2 linked regions of the Caenorhabditis elegans genome follow. The protein of the gene in region 1 purifies or fractionates together with the protein of each later gene. This does not show direct contact. Each region holds a gene or a part of one and is shown on either strand. Other genes may lie near its edges. The genes, in order: sir-2.2 and pyc-1.

Region 1 (5,356 bases):
TTTCATTCTGCATACTACCATCCACGGTGTGGTATCTATGACGTCATTAACAACTTCTTCCCGTGTACCGATCCGCGATTGGCTCACATTGCTCTCACTCCAGAAGCACAGCGAAGTGTGCCGAAAGAAGTTGAATACGTATTGCCTCGTGATCAGAAACTTCTAGAAGATGCATTTGATATCACTATCGCTGATCCACTTGTCATAGATATTCCTATCGAGGACGTGGCAATTCCAGAAAATGTGCCCATTCATCATGAGAGCTGTGACAGCATTGACAGTAGAAATAACTCAAAGACGCATAGTACAGACTCGGGTGTCTCATCATTGTCAAGTAATAGCTCACATTCAGGAGGAGATAATGAGGTCAGTAAGAGAAAAAATGTAAATGGTTAATTAACAGGAAACTTCATTTTCTAATAAATAGAATCACGATCCGAGTGTGCCTTTTTCATTTCATATCCAAAAATTTAGCAAAAAATGTAGATTAAAATTTAGTTTTTATCAGGCGCTTCGTTGTAAAAACAAAGTGTAACATCCCATCAAAAAGTGATAACTTTACCGCAATTTCTCGTGTTCAAACCCAGAAAAGACATTCTTATTGCACATGGCCGCTGAAGAAAGCCTAAGAAGATATGTAGAGTCCAATACTAGTCGTTCGGTGTTTTGTAAGTCTAGAAGAAATAATACAGAATTTTGTAGGAATAAAAAAATTTTACTCCAAAACTTTACATACTTTTCATACTTTTGATATAACTTACAATTAGAGGATTTCAAAAAAAAAATAATTTGAAAGCAAATGAATATAACTAGTACTTAAAGAATGCAGAATTTCAATTGAAGTTGCTAAAATCTAGGTTTGTCACTCATTCAAACAGACTTTGGTTATATGCACATCACGTTTCATAAACATTTACAATTTCAGACTCTGACAAGTGGTATGCCAACTCATTTGAGAGATCTAAACATCGAAGCCCATCCTCTACTTCGACAGCCCGTAGAAGTTGTGTAGCACATTTTGAACATGTGAGCCTGTACAAAAGCCATAATACTTCTCAACTACTATCATCGTCATCTCTCCGTCACCAATGATCTCTACTCAAAACGGTTATGGACGGTTTTTTTGCATAAGGATTCAACTAGCCCTACACGATTGCTTTGATCTCTGTACATTTTTGCGTTTAATATGGATATTTGCTTTTTAATGGATTTTCGATCTTCTACTTTTATTGTTGATTTTTCTGGTTTTGTGGGGGTTGTGTACAAATTTTGTTTATTTGTTGTCGGTAACCACGGGTACCATATTATGTGAATCGTTTATCATCGTATTAAATCATGTATACATGCATTGTACAGAGTTTTTGAATATAATAAATGAACATGACGTCATTTGCACCTACTTTGTGCTTTTGAACTTTCACTGTTTCAGATATTTTTTATTTATGAAAAAAGGTATCTATGAACAAGCTTTTCAATACATTATAACTTTGTTGTATCTGGTCTGATCCTCAATATTTTTGAGTCTTCAAAAGAAACAATTATAAATTGCAATACATCTCAACACTGTTTTATGGCGTCTCAAATTTTGAAAAAAAAAATTATTTTATAAAAATTGATTTGCAGCAGACATGTTGAAAACGGTGCTTTTCTTTTAAATTATTTTTGTTGTGATAATGTAATTAACTACAACTTTACATAAATTGAACTGAATATACGGGTCATTCATTTTTACAAACCTTATCTATTCTATCAATACCATGACTTTTTTCGCGAAAAGTCAGCCGACATGACATGACTCTTATCTCTTTTTTTTTTGTTAATTCTTTTTTTGTTGCGACAAATTAGTGTCAAAAAACGTGAACCCATTCGATCACATAACATTTTGAACTTCAAGAAAATCACACAATCGATAAATGATGAAGTATGGTAAGTCAAAATTTTCTAATATTCCAACTGATTAATAGTTAGTGTGTTTGAGTTTTACTTTTTCAAATTAATGTTTACATTAAAACAACTATAACAATCCTCAATTGAAATATTGTACACGAAATAAAAATCAAAACATATGTATGAACATATTTCTCTTATCTTTTTGTATTCTGTCAAAGGGGTCTAATTTTTTTGACCATTTTTTTGTCAGTTAGAACCAAATAAAATCATGCCGCATGTCTGTGAAAAATCACCTTATTCTTTCTCTTTGAGATTGATAAAAACGTTCTGTAGGTTTTCCAAAATGTTAACTAAAAAATCAAATTTAAGCCGTCGGTATAGTATTACAGGCTAGGTATAGGATGCTCGGATAATATTAATTTTAAAAATTCGAAAATGCATCATACATAAAACTTTTTAATACAAAATATAGATGTTTTCTTTTTATTTATTTATTAATATAACGTATCTATATAATTTTCAATTAAGCAATAAATATTTTTGAAGATTTGAGGATAAAACTAAGCAAATTCTAAAACTGCAATGTTCAATGAAATTGCGTTATTCAGTGTTACCTATAAAGATTTTTCAAAACGTTACTCTCTTATTCTTCTCCCATTCACGTGTTGCACTTTCTGCCAGCCGCCTTCTCGGAGAAACTAGGAAATATCTGTGACTTTCTCTAGCCACTCTCTACTCTCTCGTCAGTGCAAATAGAGCGCGAATGCTTTAAAATGACGCATCAATCACTCTGTCGGTCATTTGATTTTACACTTTTCACTGATAGCTTAAAGCTCGGAAGCGGAACTATAGTGAAACATTTTATAAATTACGATTTAGATTTTTTTGAATTCTGTATCATGCTGCCTAATTTTTAATAATTTGAATATTTTTAGGCATGGCTCAAAAGTTTGTACCGGAGGCCGCCGAGCTCTGTGAAAATTCCTTGAAAAAGTTCATATCTTTGATTGGAACAGTGGACAAGCTGCTTGTCATCTCTGGAGCAGGAATATCTACAGAATCTGGTAATCTTTCATAGTTCCGATACTCAATCGTCTAAAATTTTAGTTCCAGGTATCCCAGATTACCGCTCGAAAGATGTGGGGCTGTACGCAAGAATTGCACACAAGCCAATTTATTTTCAAGATTACATGAGGTCCAACCGTTGTAGACAAAGGTGAGGTTATGCTTGGAAAAAAGTGAAAAAAGTAAAGCTGGTTAAGAAAAAAATGTTTTCCCGTTACGATTTTTCTACTCAACAGAAATGTTTTACAAGTACATCATCAAAATAGTCCGGGCTTTTTTTTTTAAATATATCTTATTCATGGTATAATTTATGCTAGCTGAGCCTTCAAAAAATATAAAATTTCAAAACAATAATTTCATATTTTCAGATACTGGTCTCGCAATTTTTTAGCCTGGCCGAGATTTGGTCAAGCTGCTCCTAACATCAATCACTACGCACTATCGAAATGGGAAGCTTCCGATAGATTCCAATGGTTAATCACACAAAACGTGGATGGGCTTCACTTAAAGTAAAGACGGTCAAAAATGAGTTAAAATTTTTTTTTAATTCAGAGCGGGCTCAAAAATGGTAACGGAACTTCATGGCAGTGCTCTTCAAGTAAAATGTACAACATGTGATTACATTGAATCAAGGTACATTGGACTGAATCAACTCAATTATGGAAAAAAAAAAACAATTTCTCAATGAGGAATTGTTTGATAAAAGCTAAAACAAATGATGATTTACTAAAATTGAACAATCACATGTAGCGTAGAAAAAAGGATTGTTATACATATTTGGATTTAAAAAAAACGAAAAGATAACATTTTAACTAAAATGTTGAAACTTCCTCTAAAATGTATCGGTGAACTTCCTTATAACATATTTTAATTAACGTACATTCTTCCTAATTGATAATGTTTGATCATTGTAACTTCATTGACTTTTCGATTTCACTCCACTTCCTGAATGTGTGGAATGGCAGACAATCTAAGAGAGTATGGACGCCTCTTAATGTATCTAATAGGCCACTTCACATTTCGGTTTGTGAACGTAAAAATAACCGTTTATTTTATAAGGGATCTCATAAAATTAAAACGTTTCAACTTCAGACAAACGTACCAAGACCGACTTGATTACGCAAATCCTGGGTTTAAAGAAGAACACGTGGCTCCAGGAGAGCTGGCGCCAGATGGTGACATTATTCTACCGTTGGGAACTGAGAAAGTAAGTGTTTTACGGTGGAATAAGTCGAAAAATACAGTGTTTTCAGGGTTTCCAAATTCCCGAGTGCCCAAGTTGTGGGGGACTTATGAAGACAGATGTCACGTTTTTTGGAGAGAACGTTAACATGGACAAAGTCAATTTTTGTTACGAGAAAGTGAATGAATGTGATGGGATTTTATCACTTGGCACGTCGTTGGCGGTGTTATCTGGATTTCGGTTTATCCATCATGTAAGGCTAATGGGATTTACTGGATGACTTTTTTGGTTATCTAAAAACAAAAACGTTTTGATGTTTCCGTGGGTAGCACAAAAATTAACTATTTAAAAAAATTTCAAACAACTTTTTTAGATTGTTAAGAGTCCTTCAAAAATAAAAATGTAAACTTTCAGGCTAACATGAAGAAGAAACCAATTTTCATAGTCAATATAGGACCTACAAGAGCTGATCACATGGCGACGATGAAGTTAGATTATAAAATCTCTGACGTTTTAAAAGAAATGTAGACTAAGACGTGTAGTTTTGGAATTTGATAATATTGTGTTGACGACAGTTTTTTGGGTACTTTCCGTTTGTATTTTGAAACTTTTTTTTATTGTTTGAATAGAATGGCAATTTGTTTCATGTTAATTGGAATAAACAATTTTTGATGAATATGATTGTGAAAATGCGTTATTTTCAGAAAAAAAATCATCTACTCCTGCAAAAAAAGTAACAAAATTGGCAAAACAAAATCCTGGAATTAGGAGATAGACTCAAATATTTTACCAAACAGCTTTTCTATATTATGAGAATATAATCACTTTTTGTTCATCAAGGATAACTTGCTTAGTTCTTTTTTAAAGTTTATGATTCTTCTTTAGTAGTAGTTTTTTTTTTTAAATCAAGATTCCCAATGGGATGATCATTTTAAACATCGCACCATATTGCTTTGATGACATGATTTAAACTATTTCAACACCTTCGTAAGGTTAGATTTTTATTATCAATTTTGTCAAATATTTTATTTCCTCATTAAACAATTATTTTTAAAACCTTGCTATCAAAAAAATTGTGGACTTTGTTCTGTACCTAGATAATCTTCCAGCTGTTGGTTGGTCTCCCATTATTCTTTCATTTTCGGCGGACCCGCACTCTCTGCCGGCGTTTTCCTTGGCAATACAGGAAGAGGTTACTGGATTTCTCTACTCTACTCT
Region 2 (7,316 bases), on another chromosome or scaffold:
CTACTTTTATATCGTATCTATAAAGTTTTCATAAATTAACATTTGTTCTATGTACCCTTTGATCTTTTCACTTTTGACCTCTAATCTCAATGAGACATCAATTATTCAAAATGTGCACGTATTTTCTTTACCCCTCCTCTCTTTTCATACAGCAGTTCTGAGTACGTTCATGGTGCATCGTTTTCTAAACTCAACAGTCGTGTTTCTTTCTCACAAGTCTTTTTTCCTCTACGTTTACGAGTCTCTTATGCCAACCTCGTGATCGCCAGTGATTGCCGAAAGTGCGAAGAACGATCAAAATTTGAAACTTATCGAAGCTGGTTCTGTGATGTTTTGATTAGTACGAAATAAGTCATGTCATGATAGATCGAAAATTCATAGATTCTGAGATTTTCGATTTTCAGCGATAATCTAGCTATCAGATAAAATTTATGTAAACAATTTTCACATAGTCTTTCAGTTTCCAACCCTGAATTTCTAATTTTATCATTGAAATTCTTTCGTTAAATGGAATCCAAATCTTGTTTATTGGCCAGTTTAATTTTATTAAATGTGTTTCATTGATCATTAAATATCATTATGTTGATCTTTAAAGTGAACTTAATTAAATCATTTTTATTTTCAGCCCTTTACGAAAATTAACTATCCCACTACGACCAAAAACAGTTTTGAACATTTTGACATTTTGAAAAATCGAAGGTTCTGAAGTTTAAATCATTTATCCTCCTCCTCTGCGTCTCAGTTTTTGTGTTCTAGTGTCCACCCGAGTCGACTGATAAGACAAAATGACACAAACACCGTCTCTCGGCTATCAGTTTGTTGTCGCCGCAAATTCATAGCCATGGTCAAAGTGTTGATCTAGTTCTCTTTGAATCTAGATTTTTTTCAAATTTTTAACTTGATTGTGATACTCTAAGACATTTTATATCTTTAAATCCGCAAAATTAAAAAAAATTATTATAGTGCGTCCATAGTCTGCGGAAAACGGGAATTTCCCGCGTGCGGAAGCGTCCATAGTCTGCGGAAAAACCGGAGTTCCTCGCTTTTTTTTTCCTCAAAATTCAAAAAGTAGGCGTGGCCAACCAATCAGCTGTTGTTTCTTGTTTTCCCATTGCTCAGCTTAAAATTTTACAGCCTCTAATTGGTTGAACACGCCCACTATTTTGAAATTGACCAATAACAAAGCGAGAAACTCCTTGTTTTTTTCCGCAGACTATGGACGCTTCCGCACGCGGGAATTCCCCGTTTTCCGCAGACTATGGACGCACCATTAACACTAATCCCCGAGATATCAAAAAAAAAAACTAACGATAGAACAGCAAAAAATATTGGAATATTTGGCCGTGCGGAATAGATATTTAATATGGCATGCTCATAAACCATTCTAAAAACTAATTTTCTAATTTTACAAAAATCCAAAACTGAATGTTGAACGTTCTGTGGCTTCTGTAGTTTCTGTAGTTTCTGATAACTTCCTTCTTTGTTTACTTTTATTTTTTTCAATTTTCCTTATTTTCTCTAGGTTCTTCGTCTGGTCTTGGGTATGCCACGTGGTTCTTCTTTCACATCTCATTTCACCGAAAAAACCTAGAAAATCGAAAAACAAAATATTTTATTTTCTTCCCTTCTCCTATCATTCTATCAATGTTATCAGTACTGTTGTTATTCTTCTCTACAAATATCACTAGGTGGTTCTATGGAGAATGAACAATGATTTTTAAATCAATTAATGTATCTTCATACATACACTCACTCTCATGTGGTGTGACCTCTTGGTCTTTTCAAAATCTCTATTGCTCTGCGTACGTGACCTTTCACATTTTTCACCGTTCTAATTTATCACGTGGTCAACGTGGATACTTCTAAAAATCTCAAATAATGTCCGAATTCCGAAGAAGTTTACCACACTTCGATTCGTTCTTGAGCTTTCTGCTCTCACACAGTAGAAGGTACACCAAAGTAATGTTTCTGTGTCTCTTCGATGTTCACACTATCATTATTGAATAATCTTCATTGGTTGTATTCACCGAATAGGTTCACCGTCTCAAAACTATGCATGTTTCAGATAAACGACAACGATGCGGTTCTCCCGCATCCCACCGATCTTCGCTAATGTCGTCCGACAGACACATTATCGTAACTATGCCAATGGAGTTATCAAACCAAGAGAATTCAACAAGGTATTTCATTTCTTTTTCGTGCTTGAAGATAAATTCGGAAATTTTTTCAGGTTATGGTGGCCAATCGTGGAGAAATTGCAATCCGTGTGTTCCGTGCCCTCACAGAATTGAACAAAACTTCTGTTGCGATTTACGCCGAGCAGGACAAAAACTCGATGCATCGTCTGAAAGCTGACGAAGCCTATCTTGTAGGAAAAGGTCTTCCACCGGTTGCTGCTTATCTGACTATTGACCAGATTATAGAAACTGCCCTGAAGGTTTGTAGGACAAAAATTGACCAAGATTATCGTACCCTTTATAGCACAACATTGATGCTATTCATCCCGGATATGGATTTCTGTCAGAGCGATCTGACTTTGCAGCTGCTTGTCAAAATGCAGGAATAGTGTTCATTGGTCCTAGCCCCGACGTTATGGCTCGAATGGGAGACAAAGTTGCTGCTCGTCAAGCTGCCATTGAAGCTGGTGTTCAAGTCGTTCCAGGAACTCCTGGACCAATTACAACTGCTGATGAAGCTGTCGAATTTGCAAAGCAGTACGGTACACCAATTATTTTGAAGGCCGCTTATGGAGGAGGTGGTCGTGGAATTCGTCGTGTTGATAAATTGGAAGAAGTTGAAGAGGCATTCCGTAGATCCTACTCGGAAGCTCAAGCTGCGTTTGGAGACGGAAGTCTTTTCGTTGAAAAGTTTGTTGAGAGACCAAGACATATTGAAGTTCAGCTGCTTGGTTAGTTTCAGCGGAAACTATTATAATTACATAATATATTTTTCAGGAGACCATCATGGAAATATTGTTCATTTGTATGAGCGTGATTGTTCAGTGCAACGTCGTCATCAAAAGGTTGTTGAAATTGCTCCAGCGCCAGCTCTCCCAGAAGGTGTTCGTGAGAAAATTTTGGCAGACGCTCTTCGACTTGCAAGACATGTTGGATACCAAAATGCTGGTACAGTCGAATTCCTGGTTGATCAGAAGGGCAACTACTATTTCATCGAAGTGAATGCACGTCTTCAAGTCGAGCATACAGTAACTGAAGAGATCACTGGTGTGGATCTTGTCCAAGCTCAAATTCGTATCGCCGAAGGAAAATCTCTGGATGATCTGAAGCTTTCACAGGAAACTATTCAAACTACTGGCTCAGCTATTCAATGTCGTGTCACAACTGAAGATCCAGCTAAAGGATTCCAGCCAGATTCCGGAAGAATTGAAGTTTTCCGATCCGGAGAGGGAATGGGAATTCGTCTTGATTCAGCATCTGCCTTCGCAGGATCAGTCATTTCACCTCACTACGATTCTTTGATGGTCAAAGTAATTGCATCGGCTAGAAATCATCCGAACGCTGCCGCAAAAATGATTCGTGCCCTCAAAAAGTTCCGTATCCGAGGCGTAAAGGTGAGAATTCAATCAAAAAATGAAATCAAAGTACACCAAATCATGTTGATAGCTATCACCATTTTCTCACTGATAAGGAAACCCATTGCCACTGACTGATATTCTGCCTGATGGCTGATCAATGACTAAACTTTAAACTTTTTCAGACAAACATCCCATTTCTGCTCAACGTTCTTCGCCAGCCCAGCTTCCTTGATGCATCCGTCGATACGTATTTCATTGATGAGCATCCAGAGTTGTTCCAATTCAAACCAAGCCAAAACCGTGCTCAAAAGTTGTTGAACTATTTGGGAGAAGTTAAGGTGAACGGTCCAACTACTCCTCTTGCTACTGACCTGAAACCAGCAGTTGTTTCTCCTCCGATCCCATACATCCCAGCTGGAGCCAAACCGCCGACTGGACTTCGTGATGTACTTGTTCAAAGAGGACCAACTGAGTTTGCAAAGGAAGTTCGCAGTAGACCAGGATGTATGATCACTGATACTACATTCAGGTATAAACTCAAAAAGAAAGTAACATATATTAATTTCACATTTTCAGAGATGCACATCAATCTCTTCTTGCAACACGAGTACGTACCTATGATATGGCTGCTATTTCACCTTTTGTTGCCCAATCATTCAATGGTCTCTTCTCACTTGAAAACTGGGGAGGAGCTACTTTCGATGTTTCCATGCGCTTCCTCCACGAGTGTCCATGGGAACGTCTTCAAACTCTTCGCAAACTGATTCCAAATATTCCATTCCAATGTCTTCTGCGAGGTGCCAATGCTATGGGATATTCAAATTATCCTGATAACGTTATTTACAAGTTCTGCGAGTTGGCGGTGAAAAATGGAATGGATGTGTTCCGTGTATTTGATTCACTGAACTATCTTCCAAATCTTCTCGTCGGAATGGAAGCCGTTGGAAAGGCCGGTGGAGTTGTTGAAGCTGCTATCGCATACACTGGAGATGTTACCGATAAGTCTCGTGACAAATACGACCTCAAATACTATTTGAACTTGGCTGATCAACTTGTCAAAGCTCAAGCGCATATTCTTTCTATCAAGGATATGGCTGGAGTTCTGAAACCGGAAGCTGCCAAGTTGTTGATTGGCGCTCTCCGAGACAAGTTCCCAGATATTCCAATTCACGTTCATACCCACGATACATCTGGAGCTGGAGTTGCTGCTATGCTTGAGTGTGCCAAAGCTGGAGCTGATGTGGTCGATGCTGCAGTTGATAGCATGAGTGGAATGACTTCTCAGCCTTCAATGGGAGCTATTGTAGCTAGTCTTCAAGGAACTAAACATGATACTGGTGAGTTACAATATCGTTTGAAAAATGTCTAATTTATATTTAAGGTCTTTCTCTTGATGACATTTCAAAATATTCTGCATACTGGGAGTCAACTCGTCAACTCTATGCTCCATTCGAATGTGCCACCACCATGAAAAGTGGAAATGCCGATGTTTACAAGCACGAAATTCCAGGAGGACAGTACACGAACTTGCAATTCCAAGCATTCTCTCTCGGACTTGGGCCACAGTTCGATGAAGTCAAGCGTATGTATCGTGAAGCTAATCTTGTTCTTGGCGACATAATTAAAGTTACGCCATCATCCAAGATTGTCGGTGACTTGGCTCAGTTTATGGTGCAAAACAACTTGACTCGCGAAACTCTTGTCGACCGTGCCGATGATCTATCCTTCCCAAAAAGTGTCGTTGATTTCATGCAAGGAAATGTCGGACAACCTCCATATGGATTCCCTGAGCCATTGAGAACTAAAGTCCTTCGTGGAAAGCCAAAAGTCGATGGAAGGCCAGGAGAAAATGCTAAGCCAGTTGATCTAGATGCTGTGAAGGTCGAACTTGAAGAGAAACATGGACGTACTTTGTCTGAAGAAGATGTGATGTCATATTCGATGTTCCCAACGGTTTTCGATGAGTTTGAGACTTTCCGTCAACAATATGGACCAGTTGATAAGCTGCCAACGAGACTCTTCTTGACTGGATTGGAGATTGCGGAAGAAGTTGATGTAAGTGATTCTACATTAATCTACATTTCTGAATTTCACGACTTATGAATTTTATTTCAGGTTGAAATCGAGAGTGGAAAAACTCTTGCAATTCAATTGCTCGCTGAAGGAAAACTAAACAAGCGTGGAGAACGCGAAGTCTTCTTTGATCTCAATGGACAAATGAGAAGTATCTTCGTGGTTGACAAGGAAGCTTCCAAGGAAATTGTAACTCGCCCAAGAGCTCTCCCAGGTGTCCGTGGACATATTGGAGCACCAATGCCAGGAGATGTTTTGGAGCTGAAAATCAAGGAAGGCGACAAGGTAATACAACGCATATCTAAAGATGTAATAAATCAATCATGCATCCGGGATATGTATTCTGAATTTCTTTGAAAAACAAAAAAAGACAAATGGGACGAATTCAGAAGCGGTGGGCCCCACAACGGAAATTGTAGGGAAAAACGGAAAGAGATAAATTTATAGCCTTATGCCTCCCACGTTTTTTCTTCTTGTCCTACACAAAAATCACATAAAAAAATGATGGCATAAAAAATGAATATAGGAATTATTTCTTTTCAGGTTACCAAGAAGCAACCCCTATTTGTGCTTTCCGCCATGAAAATGGAGATGGTCATCGACTCTCCAATTGCTGGAACCGTCAAGGCTATCCATGCACCACAAGGAACCAAATGTAGTGCCGGAGACTTGGTAGTTGAAGTTGAACCATGAACTGACATCAATAAACTCGCATTTTGTCTCTTTTTTTGTTAATTCCATTCACCATCACAAATTCCGCCACATCGAAATTATATTTGGCGTTGTGCTATATAGAATGATTAGCCACCACCTTCTCTTTGCCATTCGAACCATCTCAATGTGTATATTCTGTGTATTGCCTCCCCAAAATTTTCTAAACGTCTTCATTGCCAGTAATTTTTCGTTTTCCCTCCACTTTTGCATTTATATTGTTTTCTTAGAAAAAGTATTTATTGCATCGGGTGCTCATTGTCTTTGTGTAGAATATAAACTCGTTCACTTCTCTCTCAATTTTATCACTGAAACTCACCGAAGAGCAATGCAACTCGATAAAGCAACTCGATAAAATCAATTATTACGTAGAAATCTAATGATGGGAAGAGTCGCCATATCATACGCGCATTGGTCTCGCCACGCGAACTGCGAGCTAGCTCGTCTCACTTTACTGACCACTATTGCTGAGAAGATTTTTAACATAAAAATAGGTTGCAATGGAGACTCATAAATCAACAGGAGTTACAGTAATTTCGTGTTTGCTGGGGAAAATGTTTATCTTTAGACTTCTACATAATACCTACGTTAGTGTAAATAGTACTATTCACTACGCCATTTAATTTAAAAAAAACAAAACACAAATTATAGAGACTGAAATATCTGAAAAGAAAACGTATGTTTTAAAGTTTTATTTATTTTACTTGGGAATGGTTTCAGAGAATTTAGAATTTTAAAACAAATTTAGTGCCATTCGATAGCTGATATTATGTACTTCTTCAACGTAAGAGACCATTTTTGCCTCGGACATCTAGAACTCGAGATATTTGCGTCTGAAAATTACTACTGATTTCAGTTGATTTTCAACGTAAGCCCAACTATTTATTTCATATGGTTAAGAGTTTTTACGTGAACAGAATATACTTCAAAAAGATTTTTATTTATTTATTGTCAGTTCAAAATCACGGCTCTGTGGCTCAACGGTTCTGGGCTCATG

Evidence for each region.
Region 2: the proteins of sir-2.2 (region 1) and pyc-1 purify together in Caenorhabditis elegans (affinity purification with western blotting, with the first as the bait; one study listed by BioGRID). This does not show direct contact.

The regions. Positions count from the first base shown.
Region 1 is NC_003284.9:13,326,437-13,331,792, forward strand, and holds sir-2.2 (NAD-dependent protein deacylase sir-2.2), read left to right. Parts: upstream 1-1,913; coding exon 1,914-1,926; intron 1,927-2,825; coding exon 2,826-2,954; intron 2,955-2,997; coding exon 2,998-3,106; intron 3,107-3,323; coding exon 3,324-3,464; intron 3,465-3,507; coding exon 3,508-3,588; intron 3,589-4,047; coding exon 4,048-4,162; intron 4,163-4,208; coding exon 4,209-4,391; intron 4,392-4,552; coding exon 4,553-4,666; downstream 4,667-5,356. Other genes in the region: F46G10.2 (ILCR1 Ig-like domain-containing protein), read left to right, coding at 1-366, 926-1,012. UniProt on the Caenorhabditis elegans protein: NAD-dependent protein deacylase. Catalyzes the NAD-dependent hydrolysis of acyl groups from lysine residues. Plays a role in oxidative stress resistance.
Region 2 is NC_003283.11:11,817,115-11,824,430, reverse strand, and holds pyc-1 (Pyruvate carboxylase 1), read left to right. Parts: upstream 1-2,065; 5' UTR 2,066-2,078; coding exon 2,079-2,180; intron 2,181-2,230; coding exon 2,231-2,437; intron 2,438-2,481; coding exon 2,482-2,908; intron 2,909-2,954; coding exon 2,955-3,571; intron 3,572-3,717; coding exon 3,718-4,064; intron 4,065-4,111; coding exon 4,112-4,872; intron 4,873-4,916; coding exon 4,917-5,590; intron 5,591-5,650; coding exon 5,651-5,893; intron 5,894-6,151; coding exon 6,152-6,301; 3' UTR 6,302-6,648; downstream 6,649-7,316. UniProt on the Caenorhabditis elegans protein: Pyruvate carboxylase catalyzes a 2-step reaction, involving the ATP-dependent carboxylation of the covalently attached biotin in the first step and the transfer of the carboxyl group to pyruvate in the second.